Oreochromis niloticus: one gene and its partners. The protein of the gene in region 3 interacts with the protein of the main gene of each other region in a pairwise test. Links are inferred from orthologs where the notes say so. Each region holds a gene or a part of one and is shown on either strand. Other genes may lie near its edges.

What was found.
Region 1: the proteins of htt (region 3) and dnali1 interact in binary tests that used the Homo sapiens proteins (3 or more experiments, as listed by UniProt). The link is inferred for Oreochromis niloticus from reciprocal best matches to the Homo sapiens genes HTT and DNALI1.
Region 2: the proteins of htt (region 3) and mbd4 interact in binary tests that used the Homo sapiens proteins (3 or more experiments, as listed by UniProt). The link is inferred for Oreochromis niloticus from reciprocal best matches to the Homo sapiens genes HTT and MBD4.
Region 4: the proteins of htt (region 3) and txndc11 interact in binary tests that used the Homo sapiens proteins (3 or more experiments, as listed by UniProt). The link is inferred for Oreochromis niloticus from reciprocal best matches to the Homo sapiens genes HTT and TXNDC11.

What each region holds. Positions count from the first base shown.
Region 1 is NC_031976.2:27,044,022-27,050,761, forward strand, and holds dnali1 (axonemal dynein light intermediate polypeptide 1), read left to right. Parts: upstream 1-4,433; 5' UTR 4,434-4,572; coding exon 4,573-4,653; intron 4,654-4,930; coding exon 4,931-5,067; intron 5,068-5,135; coding exon 5,136-5,305; intron 5,306-5,404; coding exon 5,405-5,583; intron 5,584-5,842; coding exon 5,843-6,007; intron 6,008-6,093; coding exon 6,094-6,129; 3' UTR 6,130-6,235; downstream 6,236-6,740. Other genes in the region: snip1 (smad nuclear-interacting protein 1), read right to left, coding at 2,069-2,321, 2,515-3,056, 3,414-3,540, 3,742-3,950; gnl2 (nucleolar GTP-binding protein 2), read right to left, coding at 6,542-6,685. UniProt on the Homo sapiens protein: Involved in sperm flagellum assembly.
Region 2 is NC_031984.2:14,358,756-14,366,342, forward strand, and holds the start of mbd4 (methyl-CpG-binding domain protein 4), read right to left. Parts: upstream 3,022-7,587; 5' UTR 2,901-3,021; intron 2,659-2,900; 5' UTR 2,595-2,658; coding exon 2,464-2,594; intron 2,355-2,463; coding exon 1,606-2,354; intron 1,141-1,605; coding exon 1,075-1,140; intron 966-1,074; coding exon 831-965; intron 753-830; coding exon 603-752; intron 424-602; coding exon 320-423; intron 214-319; coding exon 139-213; 3' UTR 1-138. Other genes in the region: ift122 (intraflagellar transport protein 122 homolog), read left to right, coding at 3,129-3,172, 6,359-6,425, 6,524-6,608, 6,696-6,774, 6,884-6,960, 7,052-7,118, 7,207-7,353. UniProt on the Homo sapiens protein: Mismatch-specific DNA N-glycosylase involved in DNA repair. Has thymine glycosylase activity and is specific for G:T mismatches within methylated and unmethylated CpG sites. Can also remove uracil or 5-fluorouracil in G:U mismatches. Has no lyase activity.
Region 3 is NC_031971.2:34,423,612-34,430,723, forward strand, and holds the start of htt (huntingtin), read left to right. Parts: upstream 1-4,105; 5' UTR 4,106-4,412; coding exon 4,413-4,510; intron 4,511-5,251; coding exon 5,252-5,335; intron 5,336-5,720; coding exon 5,721-5,841; intron 5,842-5,956; coding exon 5,957-6,016; intron 6,017-6,183; coding exon 6,184-6,263; intron 6,264-6,448; coding exon 6,449-6,587; intron 6,588-6,687; coding exon 6,688-6,829; intron 6,830-6,964; coding exon 6,965-7,112.
Region 4 is NC_031971.2:11,026,467-11,033,352, forward strand, and holds the start of txndc11 (thioredoxin domain-containing protein 11), read left to right. Parts: upstream 1-3,875; 5' UTR 3,876-4,145; exon of another isoform or gene 4,146-4,258; 5' UTR 4,259-4,324; coding exon 4,325-4,449; intron 4,450-5,568; coding exon 5,569-5,665; intron 5,666-5,857; coding exon 5,858-5,977; intron 5,978-6,405; coding exon 6,406-6,503; exon of another isoform or gene 6,504-6,581; intron 6,582-6,886. Other genes in the region: bifunctional apoptosis regulator, read left to right, coding at 316-508. UniProt on the Homo sapiens protein: May act as a redox regulator involved in DUOX proteins folding. The interaction with DUOX1 and DUOX2 suggest that it belongs to a multiprotein complex constituting the thyroid H(2)O(2) generating system.

The DNA of each region.
Region 1 (6,740 bases), on a different chromosome or scaffold from region 3:
TAAGTACGCTGTACTTTTTGGACTTTGAATAGAATAGAATTCAACTTTGTCATTGCACATGTCACAAGAACAAGGAAACAAAATGCAGTTTGCATCCATCCATTGGGCCTTATTGTGGAGTGGTTTACCTTTCCTAACTCTCCTTTCTTTATCAACTCAATTTTAATACGATTAAAAAAGTTTAGGGTTAAAACCCTTTTTAATCTACGTTATTTCATCACAATATGTAGAAGGGGAAATAGACACACAAATGTTGAATGCATTATTACCTAAAAGTTTGATATTTCTTAATACATTGCTACATTACTTCGCCTCTACATTCCTTATCATAACTATTGAAATTAGGTTGGAAGAGCTTTTAACATGAAAACAGAACAACTCTACCCACACAAAAAACAAGACTGGTGATTACATTAAAAAATTGATTAGGCAACCAGGTTTTTGAAAACATTGACACACATAAACCACAGAGAAGTGCTCATCTCCAAAGGCAGCCCAAACATTCTGGAGCCGAAAACATTCTTTATCACATCTATGCTCGTAAGTTCATAACTACAGCATGGTTATGGGTCCTAGTGATACAATATTCAATAAGTCGGGACAGATTTAAGATTAGGCAGTAACATATGAGACTGATGCCTCTGACAAGAAGAAAAAGATTAATGCCCCTTGGAAGGGGAGAATACGGAGTGACTGATTTTCAGGAATCTGGACAAGTACAGGGCAAAAAAAAAAAAAAAATGTCAGGCCTAAACAGCTATATACATCAGGTGAACAGTATCTCAATCATGCCCTTAATTAGAAGGGAAAAAAATCCCCAAAACATCTGACATAGGACCTGAGAGATTTGCAACAGCTTTGTTTTTCAGCACGACAATGATCCCAAACACACTGCCAATGCAGTAAAAGCACACCTAGACAGAACCCCCCCCAAACTCATGGAATGGAGTCCCCGGAGCCAGATCCTAAACATTGTATGTCGTCTGCTTTTTGTTTGACAAAGAAAAACTTAGGAAAGCCTTTCAAGTAGCCTAGAAAACCGCTTAAAGAAGTGTCAAGAGATTTTGCTGTGCTGAGGAATAAAGGCGGTCCTATCAAGTATCGACTTTCAATAGTACAGAATTGTACAAACTGTTTTTGCCTTACTGTATGTTTGCATGTCTTTCAGTAAATTGTTGCACCCATTTTCCTAGCAAAATATAAAGAAATGAAGGGATACTCAAGACTATTGCAGAGTACTGTAATTAATAGGCTTAAATTATCATAAACAAATTATATTACCCACTATATAGTACCCACTTGTTAAATAATTATGGTGCCTATTGTCCTCCTTAAAACGGGACATTTTGTGATAGAAACAAAACGGACACCAGTTTGCTCCAATAAAACTCTTCAAAAATTTATTTACAGTACAAAAATGAAAATTTACTATGGGTTTCTATGAATGGGCAAAAATAAGAATGGTGCATACAGATTCCAGTAGTGCAAGGGAACACAACAGCGTTAATAATTTTTCCTGCACTACGAAGCAAAGACAAAAAAGGAAAAGGAAATATCTTTACATCTTGTACTGCAATGTTTACTCTGACAATAAAAATGCTCTTTAAACATGAATGTTGAGTTCACATTCCAATAATGTAATGTACACTGACACATATAGCATGGACATAGATGATTAGCTATGCTTTGCACTCAGTGCTATGGCGCAAAAAATATAGAATATATAACTATAGATTGGTGAGATATCTTTATCTGTCACTGAGCACATCTTAATGTAATGCGAGCACTGTCAGAAGTAAGATCCGTCATGTATCACATAGACATTATACAACCTGAGAAAAAGTCTTCTTTGAGACAGCTGTGGCAGGTTCAAGCAAGAGATCAGTAATTACAGAATATACACCACCAACAAATCCTGTTCCATTATTTCAATCAGTTCCCGCATTTACCAGTTCAAACTTATTGCTCCATTCCCTGCAGAAACAGTTGTTTGTCCTGTTGTTGTTGTTTTTGATGATGATGTTATCTAACCTGAATGAACTTAGGCAATCAAATAAGTGGGAACGATTTACTCATCAAGGCCCTCGTCTTCCTCTTCCTGCTTGGCATCCACCTCGCTTGTGTCTGAGAACTCGTGGAGCAGCACGTATTCACGGCTGCTGAAGCCAAACTTTAGGACATCTTTTTCTTTGAGTTCATAGTACCGCTGGGGGTCGATACGCTGGTTGTTCAGATAAGTGCCATTGCCAGAGCCAAGGTCAATAATGTAAGGCTTTACCCTCCGGCCCGTGGTGCCATCTGCCCGCGTAAACTCCACCAGTCTGCAGAAATGAAGACAGAATGGTGGACATGATCTATTTGCAAATGAGGATCATGATTAAAGAGTCATTCAACATATTGGACAACAACAATAGTAAATAGTAATCACCACAGATTGAGCACGTTTTTCAATCAAAAAGAAAACCAGAGTAAAAAAAAAATAAATAAAAATTTGATGATGACTGTTCTTCCTACCTGTACTGGAATACTGCATGTTGCTTGGAGCAGGATGGGTGATCAATCGGGATATCAGCAATTCTTCTCTGTCGCCCCAACAAATAGGCACTCTGTCTGTGAATATACATGACTGGAAGAGCCTCATCATTCTTGAAAGGGTACAGTCGCCATCGGCGCTTCGGAATCCGAGCCTCAGGCGGCTCGTTGTACTTGATCACCACTCCCCGAAATGTGTTTGTGTCTTCTGTGAGTGCCCCTGAAAGTTCGAAGTTTGGCTTCTCTTTCTCAGCAGGAGCAGCGCTTGCCTCATCACCCTCTTCTTCTGACCTCCCGAAGTCTCGCTCTTGGTTTTCTTCACGTCGCTGGCGATTTTCCCTGCGTCTCTCATCTTGCTGCTGTCGTTCAGCTTGTTGAGAGGCAAGAGCATTTCGCTCCCTATGCCTCTCTCCACCGCGCTCTCTCTCTCGTGGCCTATCTGATTCCCACCTACTCCGTCTGTCCTCTGGTTGCTCATTTCTTCTTCTTCTCTCGTCGCCGCTAGCTCTATGCTCATCCCGTTCCTGTGACATATATTTAGAGAATACTTACACAGTTACATTGTTGAGTAGTTAGTTATATTATACTCCATTACCCTTCAGTATGGAAAAGTGGGCTCTATTTTGTTTGACATATTGTCATTACTGCCAGATGCCTCTGAAAAACATTAAAATGGGACAACTGTAGCCCAATGTTGGGTCTCTACACAGAAAACATACTGCCTCAGACTGTTAGTACTATCTCAAAGTACTTGGGTTACACAAGCTTCTGTGTGATAAATTCCAGATGAGTACTTTATACCACCTAGATCACTTTACACTCCAGTGGTGCTGCTGAATTGCAAACCTGAAATGTTTCCCAATAATTTTGAAACTAATCACCCGCTTTACTCTGACATCCCCATGGTGAGGACTACGACTTCTCCTTTTTCTCGGAGATCTGCTGCTTCTTCTGGCGGGAGAGGTTTCCCTTCTACCTGGTGAACGGTCCCTCGTCCTTGCAGGTGACCTAAATGAAGAACACAAGAGAGTATTAAGCGACCGTTCACATGACATTTCTCACCGTTAAGATGCAACTAGTGGCCGTAGCTAGCCCAAGTAAGTACTACAGCGATATACTCGAAAAAACGGACTCTGTCACGGTTGTCAAGTTGATCAATATGACATATGTGGCAAAATTAAGGTGGTATGATAACTTTAGTGCACACACCGGCTCGTTCCTCCTCTCTGTGGACTGGAGTTGCCGGGGGATCTTGACCTGGAGCGGCGTGATCTCTGTGGCCTAGCAGGGCTCAGTTTCTCCTGCTTTATCTTTACTTCGGCTTCACGCTCCGGACTTTCTCTTCTCCTGTGCCGCTTCTCTTTGGCCATGCTTAAAATAATTCTCTCAAATCGACCGTTGTATAACCTAAAAAGCATACATTTTCAACCACACCACTGTATGTACAAAAAACAAAAGCCTCGGCATGTAACAAACTTCACCCGTTACGCCGAGATCACGCACTTCCGCTTCCTGAGGTTCACCGAGAATTAAGCTCCGCGTGTGTTCATGTTTCACGTTGGTTCCGACATGAGAAGCCGATCAGTTTATTTCCTGTACAGCCTAAATATTTTAGTGTATTGAAAAAGCTGGAATATTCTTTCATTATTTACATATTCGTTTAACACACATTACTTTTACTAGATGCAGCCTCTAAACACAATAAAAAAGGCATAGTAAAAGTTGCACAATGTGGTAAAAGCAAAACAACAACAACAACAACAAAATCACATGCCCTTGGGCTTTTTAAAATAATTTTTTTTTAAAAAAATACTGATAAAAATGTATTTATCTCAAAGGGAATTTATAAAAAAAAAAGTGTCACTAGCCTGTACTCGCTGAAGCTATGCGCTGATTCCGCTCGCACACATTAGAACGTAACGGACGCTGTTGCCAGGACAACCCAAACAATGAGCGTGAGCTTTCTGTAACTAAAGGCTAAACCAAGAAGTTTCCAGTTTTACTGTATAACTTTATTCTATCCCTCTATTGTAAACGACAATGATTCCTCCAGCTGACACGCTGTTGAAATACGACAATCCAGTTCTGGTCAACAAAAGCACAGACAGAAAATCACCAAAGGTGAGTTTATCAAGCCAGCCGTGTTTATGGCACAAATCTCAGGGATAGATTTGAGATTAATGTAAAAGTTATGCTATTCAAAATCCCGGCAGTCTGATTAAATCTTAAGATAATTATACTTACATCTACTAATATATTTGCATGCATATATAGTTACAAGGTGGTTCTGTAAGGTGTATTTTATAATAGATTTACGAAAATGTATCAGTCATTTAAAAAATCAAATCAGGGTAATAATATGTTTGTCTGATAGTTTATGAAACATCTGTCACTACAGGGACGCCCTTTGAAAGTAAGCCCTCAGCAGCCCATTGACTCTACACCTGTTCCACCACCTCCTAAACCAAAATCAGCCTCTACTGAGGCTACTAAGCAGGAAAATGAGGAGATCCTCAATTTAATCCTCCCACCCAGGTACAGTTTTTCCTATCTATAGCATGTTCTTCAGCAAGTTCAGAACTTTTCAAATTTTCCTCTTACAGGGAGTGGATGGAGGGAAACCAACTGTGGGTGCAGAAAGTATCCAGTACACCTTGTACAAGAACAGATGTGTTGCACCTAGAGGAACTCCTAGACACAAAACTCCAGGAAAGACAGGCCAGAGAAACCGGCATCTGCCCTGTCCGCAGGGCGCTCTATTCCCAGTGTTTTGGTAAGGAAGAAGCTGAGATGTTGCTGATTATAGAAGGTACAATCAATGCATATAAATACAATTAATCACATACGTTTTCTTGTCATTCTTTCTTTTGAGATGAATTAATCAGACAGGTAACCATCAACTGTGCTGAGAGGGGTATGCTATTGTGGCGGGTCAGAGATGAGATTCAAATGACCATTGCCGCCTACCAGACCGTCTATGAAAGCAGCATAGCTTACGGCATGAGAAAGACACTGCAGGCTAAGAAGGGCAAAGCTGATATGAAAAACAGAGTAAGGATATCATGTTCCTTATGAGTTACAAATACAGGGTCACAAAATATATATACATTTTAATACTAGGCAATTTATAGATGATGGGAAATTTACTTTGCCATTCATGTAGTTCAGCTGTCATTTAGCTAGGAGTCCAGCAGAGAGCACCATTTCTCTATTTTACAGTTACTGTACAATGACAGTGGCTGCAGTGCTCTTTACAGGATTGACCCCGCATCAATAACAAACTCACAAGTATGCTTTGGTATACGGGCAGATTTTGGAGCTAGAGAACGAGAAACAAGAACTGAAGAAGGCGCTGAATGAAGAGAAGGCTAAATGTGAAACAGTTGAGAAGATAGAAGCTGAAAAACGACAGCTGGAAGAAAAGAGGCACAATGAGGAGATCCAGCTCCTAAAGAGAACCAACCAACAGCTTAAGGTGACTTTTTCAATTACACATCAGAGAATAATTATTGTAGATTGTATTGTCTAAAGATTTCTTAACCACCCATCTTTTCTTTTCAGGCCCAACTGGAAGAGATAATTGCACCAAGGAAGTAAAAAAAAAAAACCCCAAAACTTAGCTGGCATTTCTCTGTACAAGATTGTATTCATTTATAATTCATCTTATTGCTTAATGATACATTAAAGTAAAAACTTAGTGTAATTTACAAATGTTTTATTGTTCTGGCATAACAAGTACACTTCAAACAACTACTGCAGATTGCTCTTGAACGTCAAGAGAGCAGTACACTTGTAAATGATGAATGAAATGTCATTCAAATACAGTTCTGCACTGAGGGGAAAAAGTTATAACAGTCATGAAGATAAGGCATCAAGTTGATTAAGACCACCTTAGTGTTCCACCTTCTGCCAACCTTTTTTTTTCCCCAATGAAAATAGCATCAGGCTAATTTAAATACAGATTTATTACATGTGTGTTTTATTTTATTTTATTTTATTCAACTCCAGTCTAGTGCTTCGATTTCTTGGTATTTTGACCTTCTGTGCCTGATGCTGGGATTTTTTTGTTCTTGTTCTTGTTCTTCACATTGTGAGTTTCATAATAACGCACGCCAACTTTCTTCGTCCTCTGAGCACGATCCATTGCTCTTCTCTGTAGAGAAAGATAAAAGAGAAATAGAAGGAAAAAAAAAGTGAAATCTTCTTCT
Region 2 (7,587 bases), on a different chromosome or scaffold from region 3:
AAGGTTAGCCAGCGTAATACTGCATAATATTGAAGAAATTCAGGATTAAAATTTCAAGTCCTCCATAATGCTAATATTGTTATATTGTTGGGTAACTGCAGTTTGTGTGATAGAAGTGATTTTCTTGTTTCTGGTCCTTCAGATTCCCAGTTTCTCATGGTTCTCCCACAGCCAAGCATGGTACTTGTTTAGCTTATGATCATCAGGTTTTACCTTTGACACAAGAATCGAAAAAAGAAAAAATTAAACTTGAATTTAGAGCAAACAAATGAGGAAGCAATGGAAGCAACTGAAGTAAAATAGTTGGGATTATACCCACCTGTCTCCACTCATTGATACAGAAGATCCTGTACGAGTCGTTGCCGTACTTTCCAATACCGTGCAACTCAATAGGGTAACGCCACTGTTTAGTTAGATACTCATCTACACCAGAGAAAAGGGATTGTGAGGATTTTTTTTCTGTTTCATATATTGTTACTAAAACCATGCAAAGACTACCAAAAATGAACAATAAAATTACAATAATATATATAAATAAATGGACATTGCATGTGCACAAAGGTAGTTGCTGCTGTAATCCACTAACAGGCAAGAATATCCACCTGAGAAGCGGATGAGTGTTTTGGCTCTAAGCTCATACAGGCCAAGTGGCTTCATAAGTTCAGACATGGGCTTCCAGTCGGCCTGTCGGGTCACCTCTGCAGATGGATAACGCTCAAAGAACTGCCACAGGACTGGAATGGCCATTTTACCTGTATTAAAGAAATGCCAGGGTTCAGCAAAGCTTAATGCAACATCCTGAATAATTAAATGTGTGTGTTGAATCCTACCACTGGTTTTGTTCAGAAAAACTGTGGCTACCAGCAGCTTCCAGGGATCATGGAAAAGAGTTTCCTGTACGAGGTTGAAGGGAGACCGGGGAGGTGTCCACTTCTTGAAGGCCTTCCTCCTCGGTGGGCTAAGTCCTGAGTGTGGACAGTGCACATTTCTTTAAATTACACACTTTATTTATTTCATGAATGTTGATATACATGTCCGACGTAAAAGCATCCAGTTTCCTGCATTAAACATTACCATCTCTGCTGGATTTCCCACTGAAATAAGGACTTGTTTTCCGCTTGCCTTCCAAGCTTTTGGACTCTAAGCAGACAGGAAACATTTATGGATATTAGAAGAGTGAAGCTGCTTTACATCTTTTGGTTGGGTTCAAAGTTAAGTACCTCATAAAATGACACAACAGAGAAAATCATATATTCGCTGAGCACAAAGTGGTGGAGTCCTATGATGGCTTCATTAATGCAGTAAGATTACTCAATCAATTCTGTCCTCCCTTAGACTAATGATGTGATGCACTCTCTAACAATGGACTATTATTCTTCGCCCCCTCTTTATCAGATCTAAATGTATGCATTTTTTTTTCTATTTGGAACATTTTGTGTCAATTAAGGCATTTGGTTTCTTTGATTTTTATGTATTTCTAGCTGCAAATATAGAGGATAATGGAAGACATAAATAACCACTAATGCACTGGATAAGCTCAAATTAAACAGCTAAAAAAACATGAAAAACTTTTACAAATTGTCAGTCAGTGTGGCTCATTCTTACTATTCTGGGATTCTCGAACTGGTGTACAGCTCCCATCAGTGGTATCAGGTAACAACGCATGTTCTTCAGCATCTTGACGACTGTCATCGCCAGTCTCCAGGTCAGAATTAGGAGTGTTGTCACCTTTGCTTTCATCACCTTTTTTCTCGCTCTCAGCGGCAGGTTCAACATTCAAAATCGGGGCCGAAGGCTTCAAATCTGCTTTCTTGTCCTCTTGAAGAATAGACGTGTTTGGTTGATTACTTAAAGGAGCCAGTCTGAGTAACTTCTCTCTCAGTTGGCCTCCTCTTTGGGGGCTCTTTTGCAGTTGTACATTGTCCACTTTTTCTGCGGTCAAAGCTTGTAAACAACCATTTAAAGTTTCAGTAGTTTTGTCTCCATTCACATTCACTTCTAATACACATGCAGTCTTCTGTAGTTTAGTGTCAGCATCAATATGATTTGTGTCGTCTGCCGTCCTCACTTTTCCGCTTTTAGTATCACTTCTGAGGGAGGAAGAGGCTTGTTTGGATTTATTTGGAGGTGCCTCTAGAATTGCTGTTTCATTTTCTGTTTCCTCCTGCTGTCCCTCTAAAGGCTTTTTCTTTCCTCTCCTCTGCTTTACTTTGGGAGGGGGTGCTTGTGAAGGGGTGACAACATCATCTTTGGATGTGGTGAAATCAAAGAGGCTTATGTCTAAGTTACCACTTCCACTTTCCAGGAGGAAAGTGCGTAGGGATGCTCTGGACCGGAACCTTTGCCCTTCGGGACTTAAACAACAGGAAAATCAATTAGATGCTGATCTAAGGGCTTCTGTGGTGCACTTACAGGTAACATCTTACAGAGACAAGATTGTAAAAAAGACCAAAACTGAGTCACCTTGTAAAGTAGACATCTAGTTTGCCTGCTGTCTTGCCTGCTTTCCGCTGCCTCACTTCTCTGATCCAGCCAGGGGGCAATGCGGAAGAAGGGCACAAAATCTCCCCTTCTTTGAGACTTTGATGATTCATGTCCACACTGCTCTCCAGTTCAGTATCTTATCTAGTAGGATGCATTTTTAGTTTCTTTGGAGTCCTGTTGAAGTGAAGACAACGAATAAAAAAACCTTGGCTTTATTGTTAAACTATGAACCTGTAGTTCTTGTTTTGTTCCTGCGAGTTTACTTGGACATTTACAAAAACAACACATACAAGGCGTTTGCTCATTCTACAGTTTGCTCACATAAAGCCACATTAAAAAAAAGGATTGCTGGATATTACTGGGCAGCAGATCAAAAGCAAAGAGCTAAAACGTTAACAAAGGCGTGTGCAGCATACATGAATACTGATCAGGCTTTAGATGTGCATCTTCTTGTCTCGACGTGGCTTTACCGAGTTCTTTCTGATGTCAACACAGAAGCAGGAAGTAGCGAGCAAGTGCGAGTCTGCGCAGTGCGAGCTACTCGCTACAAGAAACGGTACAGGGTGAAAAAACAGAACCAAGCGAACTGCAGCAACCTGTTGACAAAAGAACCTTTGGTGCTTTTTTTCTGTTAAAGAGCGGAAATGAGAGCTGTCCTAGCATGGAAGGAAACGATCCGTGAGCAATGGTAGGAATCTGAGTGATTAGGTTTGCGCTGTCAGCCTCGTCCCGATGCTCAGATGTAACGCTAGGTGGTTAGCAACGGTGGTTGCTATGTAAACTAGTGTTAGCCCGCTAACTAGCTTTAGCATCGCAGCGATTCCATTATCATCAATGTGTGATCTTTTATATCGCTCTCATATTAGATGTCGTGCATTATGTATTTTCCATAAGTACAGTAGCTTATGATGGTTCTTTGGTAACCGATATAATCATAGACGTAGGATCTCTAGTTCTCATTACGGTTTATTTTGTTTGTTGTGCAGAATTGCGTGCTCCTAATAACATCTTTTTATTGAAGAGGCTTTTTAAATAAGGTATTAACTTGTTTGCCATTATTTCCCATTACATTCTTGTCAGGAATTAAGGTAGTCCTGTTTAGTCTAGCATTTAAATGATCAGACTTCCCGAAAAAACAAAAACCGAGTAGGTGTTTGGAGAGATGTTTTTGTGCTGTTTCAGAGGGAGAATGGAAGTCACAGAGTAACTCATAATACTCTAATGATACAATGCCCACTAAAATGTTTATATTGTGATCAGATCAAATCACAATACTTGATATGTTGCAGGAGTCATCTTGGATAGATGGTTGTATCTGAATAGGAAAAATATGACTCCCCAAAAAGGCAAAAGCAGGACTTGTATACTTAGCATGATAACTGCAGTTATCATACTAAGTATACAAGTCCTGCTTTGTTTGAGTGAGACAATGTGGGATACGTTAATAATGCTGAGAAGTCACTTGTAACATTTTAACAACTTTATTTGTTTTCTAATAAAAACATGCTGTAGTTTTTAATTAGATATTTCCAACTTCTTATATGCATAAATGGAAGTTAACTTTTTTGGTGGTGTGATTCAATTAATTTTGAGCCACAGATCACTCACATTTTTTACTCTGACATTAGACAAAGACGTAGTCCAGTCCATCTAAAGTTTGTGACATCTGCTGGTGTCCCTACCCCCAGTGGACCCACTAGGGATTTTTATTCATTTTATCTATAGAGGTTTTAATTTCCTGGCTCAAAACTCCATGCACGTAAGCACAATTGATCCGGATATAGTCAAGTAAAAGAGTGAACGTTTTTACCAGATGGTTTAACACAGTCTTTGAGAGTGAGAGGATGCCTGAAGAATGGAGAGGTGGTACTGATTTTTAAGAACAAGTGTACAGTAACTACAGAGGGATAAAACTCATAAGCCATACCATAGCTATGGGAAAAAGTGTTGTTGAAGGTAGCTTAAAGAGTGAGGTAATGATCAGTGAGCAGCAGTATGGCTTCATGCCACGAAAGAGCACTACAGATGGGATTTTTACTTTGAAAGTGTTGATTGGAGACGTATAGGGAATGTCAGAAAGACGTGAGCTGTGTCTTTGTGGATCTGAAGAAAGCATATGATAGGCTGCCAGGAGGGGAACTGTGGTACTGCATGAGGAAGCCAGGAGTTGCAGAGAAGTATGTGAAGGTGGTGCAATGCAGGACATGTATGAGGACAGTGTGACAGTGGCGAGTTGTGTGGTACAGATTGGTTCGAGGTGAGGGTGGGATTACATCAGGGATTGTCTTTGAGCCCCTTGTTGACAAGACAACATTGTGATAAATAGTGAGAGTGGGGAGCAGTTGGAAGAGAGCTTTGAAAGGTGGAGGCACGGACTGGAAAGAAGTATAAGAAAGACAGAACACATGTGTGTGAATGAGAGGGAGACAGGTGTAACAAGTTTTCAAGAAGCAGAAGTAGTTAAGGTGGACCAATTTAAATATCTGGGGTGAACCATCCAAAACAACAGACAGTGCACAAAAGAGGTGTAGGAGAGAGCACATGCAGGGTGGAGTGGATGGAGACGCGTGATTTTCCTTGTTGTTAGGTGTAAACATTTTTTGGATGTTTTGTGTGTGCGTGTGTGATTTTGAGCAGCTCCCACTTACTGTTTTTAAGTTTTGTTACTTACTGTTGTTAACCCATTTTCACACATAAAAGCCTAAAATTTGATTAAAAAAGGTGTTTTCAGGGGATAATTATCCACAAAGCACAACTGAGTAATATATAGTTAATGCAAAGTGTCTGAGCTACCTTATGTAACAGAATCAACAGAAATGTAAGTATTTTCCTGTTTCTGCCTAAGTTGCATAAATTAGAAAAATGTAACTTATGCTCAGCTAATGTTTCCCCACTTAAAGAAATAGTTGGAGGAATGCCAAATCTCATTTAGGGGAAAAGCCCTGAATTTGTTAATTTCAGAACATTTGGTTTGATTTGTTTGCACTTGTTTGTCCTTGCTAAAGATGTCCTCTGTTTCTTCAAACTCTGAATTTTATGGGTTGTTTTTTTTTTTGGTTTATTCGGTGTATGCAAAAGAAAAAAAAGAAAAAGTCAGTGTGCTATATTAAAGAAATTCCCTAGTTCAATACTGAGAGAAGACACTGGAGCTCCCAAGCTAGTTCACTCCTAATTCCAGTCGCAAACCCCAGATCAGGGAGGGAAGGTTGCATCAGGAAGGGCATCCAGCATAAAATCTGTGCCAAATCAAATATGCAGATCCATCCGCTGTGGTGACCACTTGGGAAATAAGGTTGCAGCTGAAAGAAAGTATTAAAGAAACATTGGACACTTGCAAATTCTCACACTTATGAAACTGGAAGCCATTATTCTCCATGCTTCACAGTGAGTGTTTTCACACCGAAACAGATTGTGTGCATCCTTGCAACCTAGCAGAACTGTTGAATGTTTTCCCTCTTCATAGGAACCTGATTTTTTTAGTGTTTTTATTTATTCTTGGTTTTTTTTCACCAGGATTCTTAACGTCTATATTTCTAATATTTCTTTCATATTTCCTAACAACATATTTACTAATTCACAGTGTTGCAGTGACATGTTTTGGCTTTATCTTCACTCATAAGTTTGTGAATTCCTCCAAAACCTTCAACAGAGTTGCAGGGTTGCAAAACCTTCCCTGTGTGCATTTTGGCACACAGCAATAACGTACTTGTAAAATCCACCTCCATGGCACTGCTAGAGGTCAAAAACTCCACAGGGAACCTCCATTATATGATTTCAGTGATGAATGGATCCTCATAGCTGTTGCTCGTGAACTAATCAATTTATTGAAAAACCATTTGAACACGGATCTGTTCTTTTGGGTTTTTTTCTGCAGCGTTTATGACCTCGCCTTCAAACCAGATGGTAGCCAACTCATAATTGCTGCAGGGCTTCGTGTCCTGGTGAGGCTTTTCTCTTTTCTTTAGCCTAAAAATGCAAACATGTAGAGAATACTTTCATCGTTCACCTCAATTTCACCTCATTTTTTTTTTTGTTCCAGGTTTACGATGCAACAGATGGCAGTATTATTCAGCCTTTAAAAGGACACAAAGACATAGTGTACTGTGTGGCTTATGCCAAAGATGGTACTAAATTGATTTTCACTACATTTTTCTGTGTCAGTCATCTTATTTTTGTTCTTAATTCTTACTCAGTAGTGCATTCTTCTGCAGGTAAAAGATTTGCCTCAGGGTCAGCAGACAAAAGCATTATTATCTGGACTTCTAAACTGGAGGGTATTTTAAAATATACGTAAGCAGCGCTATTACTTATTGCTTTAGTATTACAGAGTTGTAGTGTTACACCACAGTGCACAGTCTGTACTCCTCCATCATTCTTTCTTTTATTTGTTTATCTGTAGTCACAATGACTCTATCCAGTGTGTTGCCTACAACCCAGTCACTCACCAGCTTGCCTCCTGCTCATCTGGTGACTTTGGTGAGTGCACCTCAGTGGGGAACTTTGATAAATGTGACCTAATGTAAGTACATAGAGAAATTAAACCTTGTCGAACTTCTCATATTTTTAGGCCTGTGGTCTCCAGAGCAAAAGTCTGTAAACAAACATAAAGTGAGCAGCAAAATAACATGTTGTGGGTAAGTGAAGTCTGGAGCAGCAACTTTTATGCAGCAGCAGTACATTTTCATTTGTGCATTTATGTTGCTGTGCATCATTTGCTTGCAGGTGGACAAACGATGGGCAATACCTTGCTCTGGGTATGATGAATGGAGTGGTGAGCATTCGGAACAAAAATGGGGAGGAGAAGGTCAAAATAGAGCGTCCAGGAGGCTCCTCTTCTCCTATCTGGTCCATAGCCTGGAATCCCTCCAAGTTAGTCCTAAGTTATTATAGAAATGGAAGGATGTCTCCACAGATTAACACATAGCCACATATGTTTTTGGACTGTCCTTCCAAGATTTTGAGCCAAAATTGTGGAAAATTAGATTTATTATTTAGGTGAATAGTTTTTGTAGGGCCAGCAGGGGGCAGTGTTCAACCAGTGAGTGGTGGACCTTTCTCAATGATGGACTGAATTATGATGCCTGGGAACAGCTGTCTTTGCTC
Region 3 (7,112 bases):
TATGTAATTGCCTAATTTGGAGAAGTGGCTTATTCTAAGAGTCCCCTGTTGCACATTCCATTATCAGGAATCAGATGGGTGCATCTAGCTGTTGCTGGCTTCTTGTCATTGAGTTTCTTAGTGTCTTTATTTCGTTTGTTGTTGCTCTCAGGCACATTTGAAGCTGATTTTGCTTGCCTCTGTAGATTTTAGCCTTTTAGCTCTTTAGCCTCAAAAACCTTGTAAATTATGTATTTCTAACATGTAACTGATTCACTCATTCTCACAAGGAAACTAAACTGTGTTCACCACCCATGCCTCTATCATTGTTTTGACCATCTTTACTCTTACACCTTCCATATAGCAGTGAAGAAATTCTGTTTTTCGTTCCATTGCACTAATGGTGTGTTTTGACAATGACTATGGGAAAAGTGTCTTTAACCTTTTGTTGGTTTGTTTTTATTTCTGTTTTTTTGCCAGTGATACCAAAAGCAACATAAACTAAATTAGAATTTCTTTGTTTTCTGAAGAATTTAGTAGAGAAAGACTGACAGCCTTTATTATATGTGCCAATAACCAAGTTAATTTTTGACATCCTGCCTTTTTTCAGCCTCTTTATCCTTCCGTCCATTCTTAGAGAAATTCCTTTGTGTAAAGGAACTTTAAACAGCTCAACAGTTTTGAATGTCCGCACTAAGTGCATTGTAATGCCTGTTTAGAAAAATGCATATGTTTTATTACTCAAGCATGTATCAGTTTGTAATACTTCAGGTTCCTTGTATATGTAAATTATGACCTTCTAGTGCCAACATATCTCACTGGTATCTGAGGACATCTTTATGAATCGCAAGGCGACCAGCTGAGTCTTTGAATTCATAAAGCGCATTCCTTCTCTTCTGCCTTTCCTCCAAGACTCTGATGGTGAGTCAAGCCACTTCCCTAACACTGGGATGGCGCTCGCCAGCGACGTTTCGAAGCGCAAGTTATTTAGTTTACTCAAGTCTAGCTTTGGGATGACCACCGACACAGGCTGGGAGGTTTTGCGGGGTTTCACGTTCTTTTGTCCAGATTTGTCAGTTAAGTAATATTTTCGAGAAAGGGAGGAATGATGGATGGATTATGGGTTTTCAAACTCGGCCTGGGACTTCTTGATTTTTCTTCTTTATTTTGTATCTGTACAGTCATGTCGTTCAACCACTGCAGTCATTGTTAATTCTTGTACAAGTTGTATCACTGGTTGTTGTACCATATCTGACATTTGTAATTATGAAATAATACACTGCCATTTGTATAAAAATACTTGTCTTGACTTATTTGTTCTGTGTTTTTTGTTTTATTACTGTGAATAAAAGGCCATCAATTGGAAGAGTATAAAAAGTAATGACCTAGTGCTGGGGGAAAAAAGTATTTCCCCCCCCTTCCTCTTTTCTTATTTTTTGCATATTTGTCACCCTTAGATGTTTCAGAACATTCATCAGATTTTAATGTAAGACAAAGATAACCCGGGTAAATACAAAATCAATTTTTAAATGATTTCAGTTTAAAGGCATAATGAAGCTGGGGATGGGAATCGATATCACTTATGGATTAAAAATCCTTATCGATTCTCATTGGCTCTGCTTTGAAAGTCATCACCATCACTAAGCAGCATATCTGGGGCTGTGGTCAGTATTCAATCAGCTTTAACATTACTCTGAGTTCTTGGCTATCTTAGCATTAGAATGCTGTCTGTGGAGATGCTTGCAAAGAGCCAAAGTTGTGTAAGCAACAAAATTGAGTTGTTTCTGTCCTGGATGCAGTTTGCATTTTGCCATCACGCTCCATATGTGGAAAAGCAATGCTACTCTTGCTAAATCACAGCCTTGTTAATCAAGAAATCATGTAAATAGAAACCAATCTGAAGTAGACAGAAAGATCTCAGAAAGCAACACATTGTGCCTCAATCTAAAGAACTCAAGAACAATTAAGGAGCAAAGTCATTGACATCTGTCAGTCTGGAAAGGGTTACATAACCATTTCTAAGTCCTTGGGATTCCAGTCAACCAAGGTGAGAGCCATTATCCACAAATGGAGAAAACTTAGAAGAGTGGTGAACATTCCCAGTAGTGACGAGACTACCAAAATTACTCCAAGAACTCATTGACAGCTTATCCAGAAGGTCACCAAAAAAACCCAGAACAACATCTAAAGAACAGCAGGACTAATTTGCCTCAGCTAAGGTTAGTGTTCATGATTCAACAGTAAAAAAAAGAGACTGAGCAGAAATGGCAACTATGGGAGAATTCTGAAGGGAAAACCACTGCTGACCAAAAGAACACAAAGGTTCATAAAAAGAGCATCATATCAGCAATCAAACATAGTGATGATAATAATGCATTTTATTTATTTATAGGTGCATTTAAAGAGCCTCTAGGTCACCTTACATGAGTACAAAAAGAAAATAAAAATAAAAACATAAGGTAAATGAAAAATAAACAAGTATGAAAGCAAGTATAAACGCTAAACAAGGTAAAAATAGACTAAGACGGAATCACGATGAAGGTTATGCAATTTTGAATAGATGGGTGTTAAGATGCAATTGAAAAGTGGAGAGAGAGTTTGTAGTCCAGAGAGCTGGTGGAAGTGCATTCCAAAGTCTTGGGGCAGAACAACTAAAGGCTCTGAGTTCCGTGGAAGCGAGCAGGTGGAACAGATAGAAGGGAAGCTGAAGAAGAGTGGAGTGTACAAGGGGGTGAGTACATATGGAGAAGATCAGAAAAATATAGTTGAGCAAGGTTATGAAGCGCTTTGAAAGTAAGAAGCAGGATCTAAAGATTGACACGGAGCCAATGGAGCTGTTTAAGAACAGGTGTTATATGTTTAGTAGATCTAATTCGGAATATAATACAAGCAGCCGATTTTGAACTAACTGCAATTTATGGAGAGATTTATGAAGCAGACCATAGAGAAGACAATTACAGTAATCTAAACGAGATGGAACAAAAGCATTGACAAGTATGGCGGTACTGTTTGGAGTGATTGAAGGACAAAGGCGGTTAATATGATAAAGATGAAAATAAGAAGACTGAGTGATATTATTTATATGTGAAGGAAAAGAGTGCTGTCAAGGATGACACCAAGACTCTTAACCTGAGGGGAAGGTGTGACAACAGAGTTATCACTGGATAATGAAAAACTTCTGGTTGGAACTTTAGTCAGTTTTGATTTGGTGCCTATTAGAATAAATTCTGAAGTAATGGTAGTATGATGGTCTGGGCCTGCTTTGCTACTTCAGGACCTGGGCAACTTATCGTAATTGATGGAATCATGAACTCTGCTCTCTACAAGAAAATCCTGAAGGAGAGTATCTGGCCACTAACTCAAACCCAAGCACACTTGGGTCAACAGGACTATGATTCTACACACACCAACAAGTCCACATCTACATATATAAAAAGTTTTGGACTGCCTAGTCAAAGTCTGGACTCAAATCCAATTGAAATGCTTTGGCATGACCTTAAACAGGTCGCTCATGCTAAAAAACAAAACAAAAAAAACCCTCCAATGTGGGTGAATTAAAACAATTCTGCAAAGAAGAGTGGGCCAAAATTCCTCTACAGCACTGTGAAAGACTCATTAGCAATTATCCCAATAAATGCTTGCTAATAAATGCTAATATTGCAATTAGCTTGATCTGAAAAAATAAATATATAATAATAAAAAAGAAACGAAATCAGGAGTAAAATACTTAAAGTTAGATAAGTTATATATTTTATGCCGTTAGACCCTACATTTGCTCCATTCATTACCTGCTTCTTCCAATTTGTCAGAGATCATAGCACTAACAAAAGAATAAATGATCGAATAACTGTCAGGAGGGGCTGGTTTCCGTGCATTTGTTTTTCCTTCCTACGGTCTCGTATCAGTTGACACCCACCGTTATCAGCGCACACACTAAAGTCAATACTTGTAAATTACACTTGAACAAATCTGTCCTGCACTCCAGATTTCAGCGGTCTCGTGACTGCAACAATAACAACAAAAGAAAAAAAAATCACAGTGTCGTATTGGTTCTTTCTAAAGCCACTCAACAAAAATCCGGACTCTGATTGGCTGCTAACGTTGCACCCTTCCCCTCTCAGTAAACCTGTCACACAAGCTACTTCCTGGTGTGATTGGTGGGAAAACGCAATGCTGCATCAAAGATGGCTTATTATCAACCTGCATTTGATTTATTTAGGAATAGTAGTGTGAAAGAATAAGTGGCGCTCTGCGAGAAGACAAGGCGGAGAGCTGGTGGTAGCTGTCGCGAGCAGTGTTAGCACTCTCGCCGCACTACGCACCTCTTGCTCTCTACGTGCGCAAACGTTAAGTTGCCCCTACTCTGCTAGCTAGTTAGCTCACATAGTAAATATTAGCTAGTCAAGCAAGCTTGCTTATTGTAGATTGCTAAAATGGCCACCATGGAGAAATTGATGAAGGCCTTTGAGTCTCTGAAGTCATTCCAGCAGCAGCAGGGACCACCGACCGCCGAGGAGCTCGCTCAGAGGCAGTAAGTTGATATTTGTCCAGCGGTGACAGAATAGGAGGCTAGGAGCCGTTAGGCTAGACCCTTAGCTTATCGTGCTAGCAGCGTTGGTCCATCTCGGGTAGATAACCAACGTTTAATAGATGGCTTCAAGTCAGCTGCGCTAAAACGTAAACTGGGAATGAGGCTAAGGTGTTATTCATACTTCTCAGCCCATTTAGGTACACTTGTTGCCATGCTTTAGATCGCTGCTTAGCGATGCTCGCTATCCTAACGCGATCTGATTGTTTGCTAGCCTGATTTTAGGATCAGACCAGCTGAATGATGGCCAACACAGAAAGCTGATGCCAAGAACACGTGAAAGGGTCAGGAGGATCAATTTCAAGGACGTAATTTTGTGTATTCAGTAGCAGAGGATGTTGAGTTTCATAATAATATTTAAACTGCTTATGCAAATGGTTATGAATGGAATGATCAACATAGGGGGGCTTCCTGCACTTGCGTCATCTCCAAGAAGTTTTATGACAGATCTAGTCCGTTGTTGGTTGAAACACAGGCATAGGAATTCATTTATATAGCTTTTAAAGAAATGAATTGATGGGATCCGTGCGTAAGGAATACAGTTTTAGGGGATGGCTCTGATTTATAGTCATTATTTTAATCACTGCATTCCTTGGCTATAAGCAAGATACCTAAATTCAGTCTTTCTTTGTGCACACACACACACTCACACTCATCTTTTGCATTTTGTCTCATCTTCCACAGAAAAAAGGAGCAAGCTGCCACAAAGAAGGACAGGGTGACCCACTGTCTGACAATATGTGAAAACATTGTGGCTCAGTCACTGAGGTATTCCTTGTTATTTGATCTAAATATGTGTTGGTGTGAGTCATATCTTTTTACATTATTTTAGGGTTTCCTATCACCTTCACTAACTGTATAAATGGTAAGATAGCTTTTCTGTAAAGAATGTCTGAGGTGCGGGGTGATGTCATTTGCAACCAGAGCTGCTTCAGTAGTGGCTTTACACCTGATTTCACTGATTTCTGTGATATTTTGGGAATGAAGTGGGGACATGTTCATCTTTACATATAGTTTTTTTTTTCTTTTCTGTAATGTCCTTTGTGAAAAAAAACGTATTGCTCCTCAGTTTTGTGAGTTTATGCTAGAGGGTTAACAGTTTGAGAAAATTTAATAGATTTTTGGCTTTTTCTCTCTCTGGTCCTGGGAATAGAACATCTCCAGAGTTTCAGAAACTGCTTGGCATCGCCATGGAGATGTTCCTGCTCTGCAGCGATGACAGTGAATCAGATGTTCGGATGGTAGCCGATGAGTGCCTGAATAAAATAATCAAAGTGAGCAAAATCTGCAAGATGGGACAAATGAATAAGAATATTAATGACCAAAATTGTCAAAATAAGTTTGGTGTTGTTGGTGGTGGTGTTAATCATTCATTTTGATAATTTTCAGGCACTGATGGACTCCAACTTGCCTAGACTGCAGCTGGAATTGTACAAAGAAATTAAAAAGGTAAGGCATGAGGTTGTAAAGTGAGTATTTTTTAATACACCTTCTATGTCTTTACTCTCAGACTATAGGCCAGTGTTAGATGTGAAAAGAAATTGTTTGACGTTTCTTTAGAGAAAGTACGGTCAGATGTTAGACATGGTAATATCAGTGCTTGTGTGGCTCAATAGAATGGTGCCTCTCGGAGTCTGAGGGCAGCTTTATGGAGGTTTGCTGAGCTTGCCCACCTCATCAGACCGCAGAAATGCAGGTATGCAAACTTATAATATTTTTACATTATTTTTAACTATTATCCACAACATGTCTTAGTTTAGAGTCTGCTGTGGTTGTGGGGACAACATCAAAGTATCATCTGTGCTTTTTTTACTTGCATATTCTTTTTTTTTTTTTTGCTTTTACTTCATGTATACTTCTTCTCTCTCCCTTATGGCGCAGACCTTACCTGGTCAACCTGTTGCCGTGCCTCACCAGAATCACAAAGCGGCAGGAAGAGACTGTGCAGGAGACACTTGCTACAGCAATGCCCAAGATCATGTCCGCCCTGGGACACTTTGCCAATGATGGTGAAATCAAGGTATTCACCTGCTGTGTGCTAAAGTAGAAAAAAAAAAATAAAAATCATAGGCCAGTGGAAACTTTTTTTTGTAATCATCATCTAACTATTTCTGTTTTAGGTGCTGCTGAAGGCATTTGTGGCTAATCTGAAGTCCAGCTCCCCGACCATTAGACGGACAGCAGCCAGTTCAGCCGTTAGTATTTGCCAGCACTCCAGACGCACTAGCTACTTCTACACCTGGCTCCTTAATGTTCTTCTGGGTAGGTCGCACACAGGCTCACTTTCAAGCACAGACTGTGGACATGTCTTTTCTACCCTTTTACATTTTACTAAGATCATTTGTGTTAACATTTGTGAGCTAATTTGGAATTTTTGCCCTTTTCGCCTTTTTCCAGGTCTGCTGGTTCCGGTGGATGATGAACATCCCAGCCATCTAATACTGGGGGTGCTGCTAACCCTTCGTTACCTGATGCCTCTGCTGCAGCAGCATGTCAACTCCACTAGTCTTAAAGGAAGCTTTGGTGTCATGAGAAAGGAAGCTGA
Region 4 (6,886 bases), about 23 Mb from region 3:
ACAGACGGTACAAAAGATGGATGTAGTGACTGTGACATCACCTATTGGTTAATGAAAACTAATGGAGCACAGACTTCTATGCAACTGCAAGTCTTTTTGTAGCCAGAGTTGCCCCCTGCTGGCTGTTAGAAAGATTTATGGCACTTCTGCCGTGGCTTTACATTTCAGACCTAGAGACTATGTCCATGTTTTATACTGTCTGTTGTGTATTACCTGGAACTGGATTTAGCGTCTCCTGTACAAGATTTGGGTTGATAGCTGTTGAGTAGTGGTTGTAGTGGTTTTATAACACTTGTTTCCTCCCTCTCTTTGTAGGACTCTTCCACAAATGATGTGGAGCCACTTGTGGAAAATGCTAACTCAGGGATTTGCATTTGCCCTCCTTTGGCCCTTTGTCCCACAGTTTGTGTGCAACTGCCTCTTCTACTGGGCACTCTACTTCAGTCCCATCATTAATATCGACCTGGTGGTGCAGCAGTTAATGCACCCTGAAACAGTAGCATTGTGACAGACGGCACTGGATGAGGAGGTGCCCAATTGATGTGGGACAATTTGCAGCAAATAAGTTGATGAGAAGTGTTTATTTTTAGCAGTAAACGCATTGAAGACTGGCTTTATCTACTGTTGGGGAATTTGTCTTGGTTCTTGATTTGTCTCTCTGCCGGATGGTTGCCGTGTTGAACAATAGAGGCACCAGACTACTGCAGGAGAAACAAAACCAATGAGGTGAGAAACAAGTAATAGTGTCTGACTTGGGTTGATCACTGCAGTGATCTTTTTGCATCCACAGTGCATTCACAAACCACGATGCCTAAACGGTCCAGGGTGGTAAGCGGAATGATAAGACGTGTTTCAACACTCACTGGAGTAAAGATTGGACTCGCGACGCGGTGCTGAAAGCTTTGTAGCCCTGGCATAGCTGTAGTCCAATAGAACATGCGTTTTTATGCTTATACAGAGTAAGTGAAGTTGGAACAAAACAAATAAGGATACATGTTTTTACATCTGTTATCAAATATCATTCTGGCATGTAATCTACTTTTAGAAAAATAACCTCAGGCTGCTTCAGGATTATCCATCCAGAATCTGAAGCAGTATTTATAACTCTGCATAAATTCTGATGCATTTCTTACATTTTCACTGTGATTGTGATCTCGGTGATCTACAGAGCTGTGTGAGAAGTCATTCTGTGATGTTTGGTAACATGACTGAGAAGTGTCAAGTGAGGTTTGTAGTTCAGCAGTCTGTTTGGCCTCTCAGGCTTTAGCGCCCTTCCAAGTGCAAACAGAGACAGTCTGGCGGAACAAATGTTCTATGAAGTTTGTTCCGGCGGTTCCAGCATTTGCCTTCACAAGATTTGTGATGCTTAGATTTGAAATTTTTAATATTGTGTTTTTTAAAATTTATTTAGGTAATGCATATAACTTCTCCTTTTTTTAAAATATTATATATTTTTTGTTTTTATTTGCTCACACTGCTGAGAAATATTGTTGCCCTTCTTAAAAATTGTTCAAGTAATTCACAGTATATGTTTCCATTTCATGGGTGGACCAAGCTAATCAGAAATTAGTGGGTTTTTTTTTTTTTTTTTTTTTTTTTTTTTAATATGTTCATTTGCACTGAAAAATCTTACACTGTGATGATGATGATGATTATCATTATTATTATTTGTGCTCTTTTGTTCTTGAATGATACTTTACAAAATAAAGATTTATATTAAATCTGAAGGAGTATTCATAGCCACATATAAATGACTTTCTAAATTCTGATTCATTCTGATAAAGGAGCCTCAACCAACTGCTGAGTGCATAAAACAACATTTTTTTTTAAAGGCTCCTGATTTAAAATCCTTTGCTAACGTAGGAAATATTTTAATAATGTGAGATACAGGTTTATGATTTTCATGAGACATAAGTTAATCAAATTTATCTAAAAATCCTTGAAATATTTATCATCACAGGAACAGAATATATCAAAGTAAAGAAATTAACTTTTCAAAAATAAATATATATATTTGATGTTTTCAAGTTCAGTGCTTTTTTTTCATTTATTTATTTATTTATTTTTTAGTCATCAGAGTTCTCATACAGATACAGACTGTATAAACAATCAGCTATCAAAAGTCAGTGAGTAAAAGCTAATAACTAATGCCATAAATTGCCATTAACATTAGGGGTATAACTGAATTTACAGTACTGTGCAAAAGTTTTGATCCACTCATGTCTTTATTTTGCTTTCAAGGCACCTTCTTGTAATTTTTAAAGGAACCCTAAGCAATCATTCTCCAGGCTTTCTGAAGATCTTTCAAAAACCCATTTGCAGTCCAGTCAATGTACCTGATCATTTTCAGAGGAGAATTGATTTATTTTTTTGTTAAACCACTTCTGGAACCATTCAAGGATTTAAAATGCATGATGAATCAGTGTTTCGTCTACGAATAAGAGACAACTTAAGTTGTGTATGTATGTTTTGGCACTTTGTTACTCCCTGCCTAAAAAAAAAAATGCATACTTTATTTTCCTTTCTTTGCTTGAATCTGTGAAAATGCTTTAAAAAAAGAAAAAAAACCAAGCACTTTGAGAGATATGGAGGAGGTTTGTACATGTGCATCAACCAACTGAATCAAAGAGCTATTAGTTAAATACCTGGCATGTCTTAGCATGGTGTGTCCTTAATAAATTGGAGGAAAGTGGACAAGTGGGGACAAGTGGAAGACAAAAGCAGGAAGTGGCAGGCCTGATAAAATAAAGCGAGTGTGTACAGCCATCAGTAACGCATGGTGGGGCCTCTGTCGTGGTTTGGAGCTGCATTTTAGTCCTTGGTGCTCGGGTTCTTGTCAAAATTGAGTGAATTATGAAGACAGAAAACTACCGTTTTGATCCACCATGCAATTCCATCTGGAAAAGATCTCAGCAATGCCTTAATTTTTCATGGTGACAATGATCCCACACACAGCTCCAGTGCAGTAAAAGCATACATGGATGGAAAAACACACAATGGAACACTATCAGTCCTCTATTTGTCTTCCCAGAGCCCAGACCTCAACATTACTGAAGCAGTGTGGGATCATCTTTAAACAGAACAGAACAAGAGACATTGCATTAAAAAAATCAAGAAGGTCGCAGTATTTTTTTTTTCAAATACATTAGAACTGTACAAACTGTTTTTGTTTTATATACTGGATTTTCAAGTGTGTTTGCTCATGTTTCAATAAATCACTGTCCCCATTTCCCATTTTCATAGCAAAATTTAAAGAAAAGAGTAATAGGTTGAGACATTTGCACAGTACTCTAGATCCGGATATTCTACAGACATGATATCCCAAATATAAAATGTCAAGCATCACAGCCTGAGAACTGTGATGCTCATGTCCTACATGTATTGTTTTAGCTGTATTATGAGCATTTGACATTTAAGACAGCCAATGTCTTAAAATTATGTCACAATAATTAAGAGTAAGTAGTGATAAGGTAATAAAAGGGCCTAACAATTTACAACATTACTATATTTGGGTGAATAACACAAGATTATTAAGAAAGTAGCCCCAACTAAGACAACCCAATTTCTCAGTACGTATAGAGACCCTTTTTTTAAAAACTTACACACCCAGTGTTCAGTTATTTTAAGATAAACTGAATCAGTTTGATGCAGTGATTTTTAATATGAAGAAAAGTAACACGAGAAAGGAGTTTTCGCCAACCTGTTTCTCTCGTCTCTTCTTTGTCTCACAATCAGTCAAAAAGTCCCGGGCACTTTAAATAATTCTACTCTAGATGTAAATAAGCGGCATTTAAATAAAGTTTTATCGATTCATTTTTAAAACAACCGCCCCCTAGTGTTTTACGACTGTCGTAGCAGCAGCGGCTGTCGCCATAACAACGTAGGGACGGTCTGAAAAGAGCGCGTTTTGCGCCATACGGAAAAAGGAATAAATTCGCTTACTGGGGACCAATTTAAACATTATAATTATTACGAATCGTGTCGTTCATCTTTAACATCCGGTAAACTAACTGTCAGTAACATTTTTAAACTCAGACAGCCATTAAAGAGTTAAACGCACTACGCGTTTTATTTGCGTAGAGGATTTTACATCCTGCCCCTGGTATCGTTGTTGCGGAAGTGAAAAGTCTACGTGTGGAAGAAAGGTTGGCTTGACCGTATTTGAACACCTTGCACACCAGCACTGCTCATGTCCAATCCAGGTTAGCTGTTTCCGTCGAACCAGTCTTCCTCACCCATCCCCCCTCCCCCCCGTTAGGCAAATGGATGCTTTGAGCGGTAGTCGGGGCGTATAAATGGGACGGAGAGGCGACGACAAGCTGTAATGCTGCGCCGGGTGCGGCAGTCTCTCCGGCAGGTGCTGTTTCTGATGGCCCGGAGACCGGATCTGCTCTGCGGGGCTATCGTGCTCGGCGTCCTGCTCGTGCTGGCCGTCAAGTTCACGTGCAGGTAAACATGGGCACGAGCTTCTGTTTATCCTCTGACAGCGCGAGCTTGCTTGTGTGTGACCAGGCTAACACGAGACCCCTTAAAACACAAACTAAGTGGAATGGTTAGTCAGGTGAGCGAAGAGCGGCGTTGTAACACTGTTAGGTCGTGAATGAACTACTCCTCGCTGTCTGCAGTAGTTACAAACAAGGGCTTCATTATTAGTGCTGCTAATCTAAAACTGACGTGTACTGTAGACAATGAGATTAACTAAGGACATCGCATTAATCTTTCAAGGAAATGTTGGGCGTTTTTTACTCAGATAAAACCCAGAAAAGACTGCAGGAAGATCATAATGAGATTATTAATGTTTAAATAGTAATATCTGGTGACATCCCTGACACACTGTGCTGTCATCATCTTGCAGCTTTGGCCTCTGCAACTTTAAGGTTCTTCAAAGCTTATACCACTTGTCGTTCAGTTATGGTGAATGAAAGTGCTGGAATCCTTCAATTGTGTAAAAGTGTGGCAACTGTTGCTGAATGATTGACTTGTTGGCTAAGCAGTTACTCAGTCGCCCTCTCGAAAATCCAGCTGAGACGATAATTGCCACAAAGACTGAAATTTGAAACCGACTCCACGCAAATTATACCAGGCAAATTCTGCTTCTCGTCATGCTGAGGTAATTTTGCTCCCGCTGTAACAATGTAGACATTTTTGCATAGCCTCTGGGGGAGGCAGAATGTGTAACATCCCCAAACACAGCAGAGTTTTTCACATTGCTTTCTGTGGATGCAAAGATATAGCCTTTCCTCCCCTCGTACATCAGCTTAGAATACCCTCAATTTCCAAATACCATTGCTTCTACTCTCATTTTCCAAATTTAACACATGCATATTCCAATATGTGCAACTCAGAGTAGTATGCAAGGCTGGAGGTTACTGCAGCACTCACATCAACCGATGATGGACACACTGCCATGATGAGCGAATCTCATGGAAGTGACACAGAGTTGTAGCTCATGGATTTAATAACCTGGCAAGATTGTTTGAATTCTTTACATATGCTGAATATTATCTTATTATGTGACTGTGATCTCTTTGCACCCCTCAGCGTTACTCTTCTCATTTATTTCTGTAGTCGTGCTAAGAATGTGGTGGCAGCAGCTCGGCCTCCGGTGCGTTTCTTTTCTCCTGACGCCCCGGTGGTGGATCTCTACTTGGGCCAGCTTGACCAGGTGAGATTCAAGGATTCAGACTTGATGGCAATCACTGTATTTTCCTTTGTTTGATACTTCATTTGCTCAAATTGTAAAAGAGAACAAATGGAAAGAGCCAAGAGAGTTTCTAAAACTCCAGTTAAATGTTTTGTCGTCGTAATCAAACTTGTGGTGCTCTGTGAGTCTGAAAGGGGTTTTTTTTCTTCACAGGTGGAGCGTCTCAGGAGTGTGGCCGAGGTGTCCTTTATTTTCTTCTATGCACCATGGTGTGCTCACTCTATGGCTGCGCGACAGGAAGTGCAGCAGGTCGCTAAGAAGCTGGCCAAACAGGTACAAGTGAACGGAACCTCCCCCACTCAGGATTGTTTAAACATCAAATATTTAGATGTGCTTTACTTGGACAAAGACTAAGGAGGCGTCAGGAAACTGGGGCTTGTTCTTACGTGGATGCATGTTATGTTATCGCTTGTTACGCAACATATTGGGAAGAGTTTATAGGAGCAGCTTGAGAGACTGCAGTAAAGAGTGACTCTGATATACTTGAGTTAATACAATCTGTTCCCTTCAGCTTAAATACACACTCACACATTTTTAGCTTGTGTCTCTCAAATGCAAATTCATAGTCGACTTGTTTTGGGCCTGTTTGTTAAGTAAATGAGTCATTACAGTGTGTGATTTTACACTGTTTTGTGTGTAGTCTACACACCATTTTGCTCATCTTTGTTTCTTAATGTGTCTCTTCAAACACACAAACACAGGTGCAGTTTGTGGCTGTTAACTGCTGGTGGAGTCAGGGGAAATGCAGGAGGCAAACCCACTTCTATCACTACCCCGTCATCCATCTGTTTTACAGAAGGTGAGACGGCGGGCTTGTCTTCACTTATGCTGGGAATTTGCTTTCAACAGCTTTAGCCAACAAAGAAGAATTGGGAAGGTACAGCCCCATTCCAAAAAAGAAAAAGCTGGGATGCTGTATGAACTGCACATAAAAACTGATTTGCAAATCTCACGAAACCCATCTTTTATTCACAGAACAACACAGAAAACATATCAAATGTTTAAACTGAAAAATGTACCATTTTAAGAAAAATACCGGCTCATTTTGAATTTGATGGCAGCAGCACTTGGGGAAAAAAGAAGCTGAGACTAGACCATGTTTACCACTGTGTAGCATATGATAAACATCTGGGAACTGTGAGACCATCTGCTGGACTTTTGGAAGAGGAACGTTGCCCCATT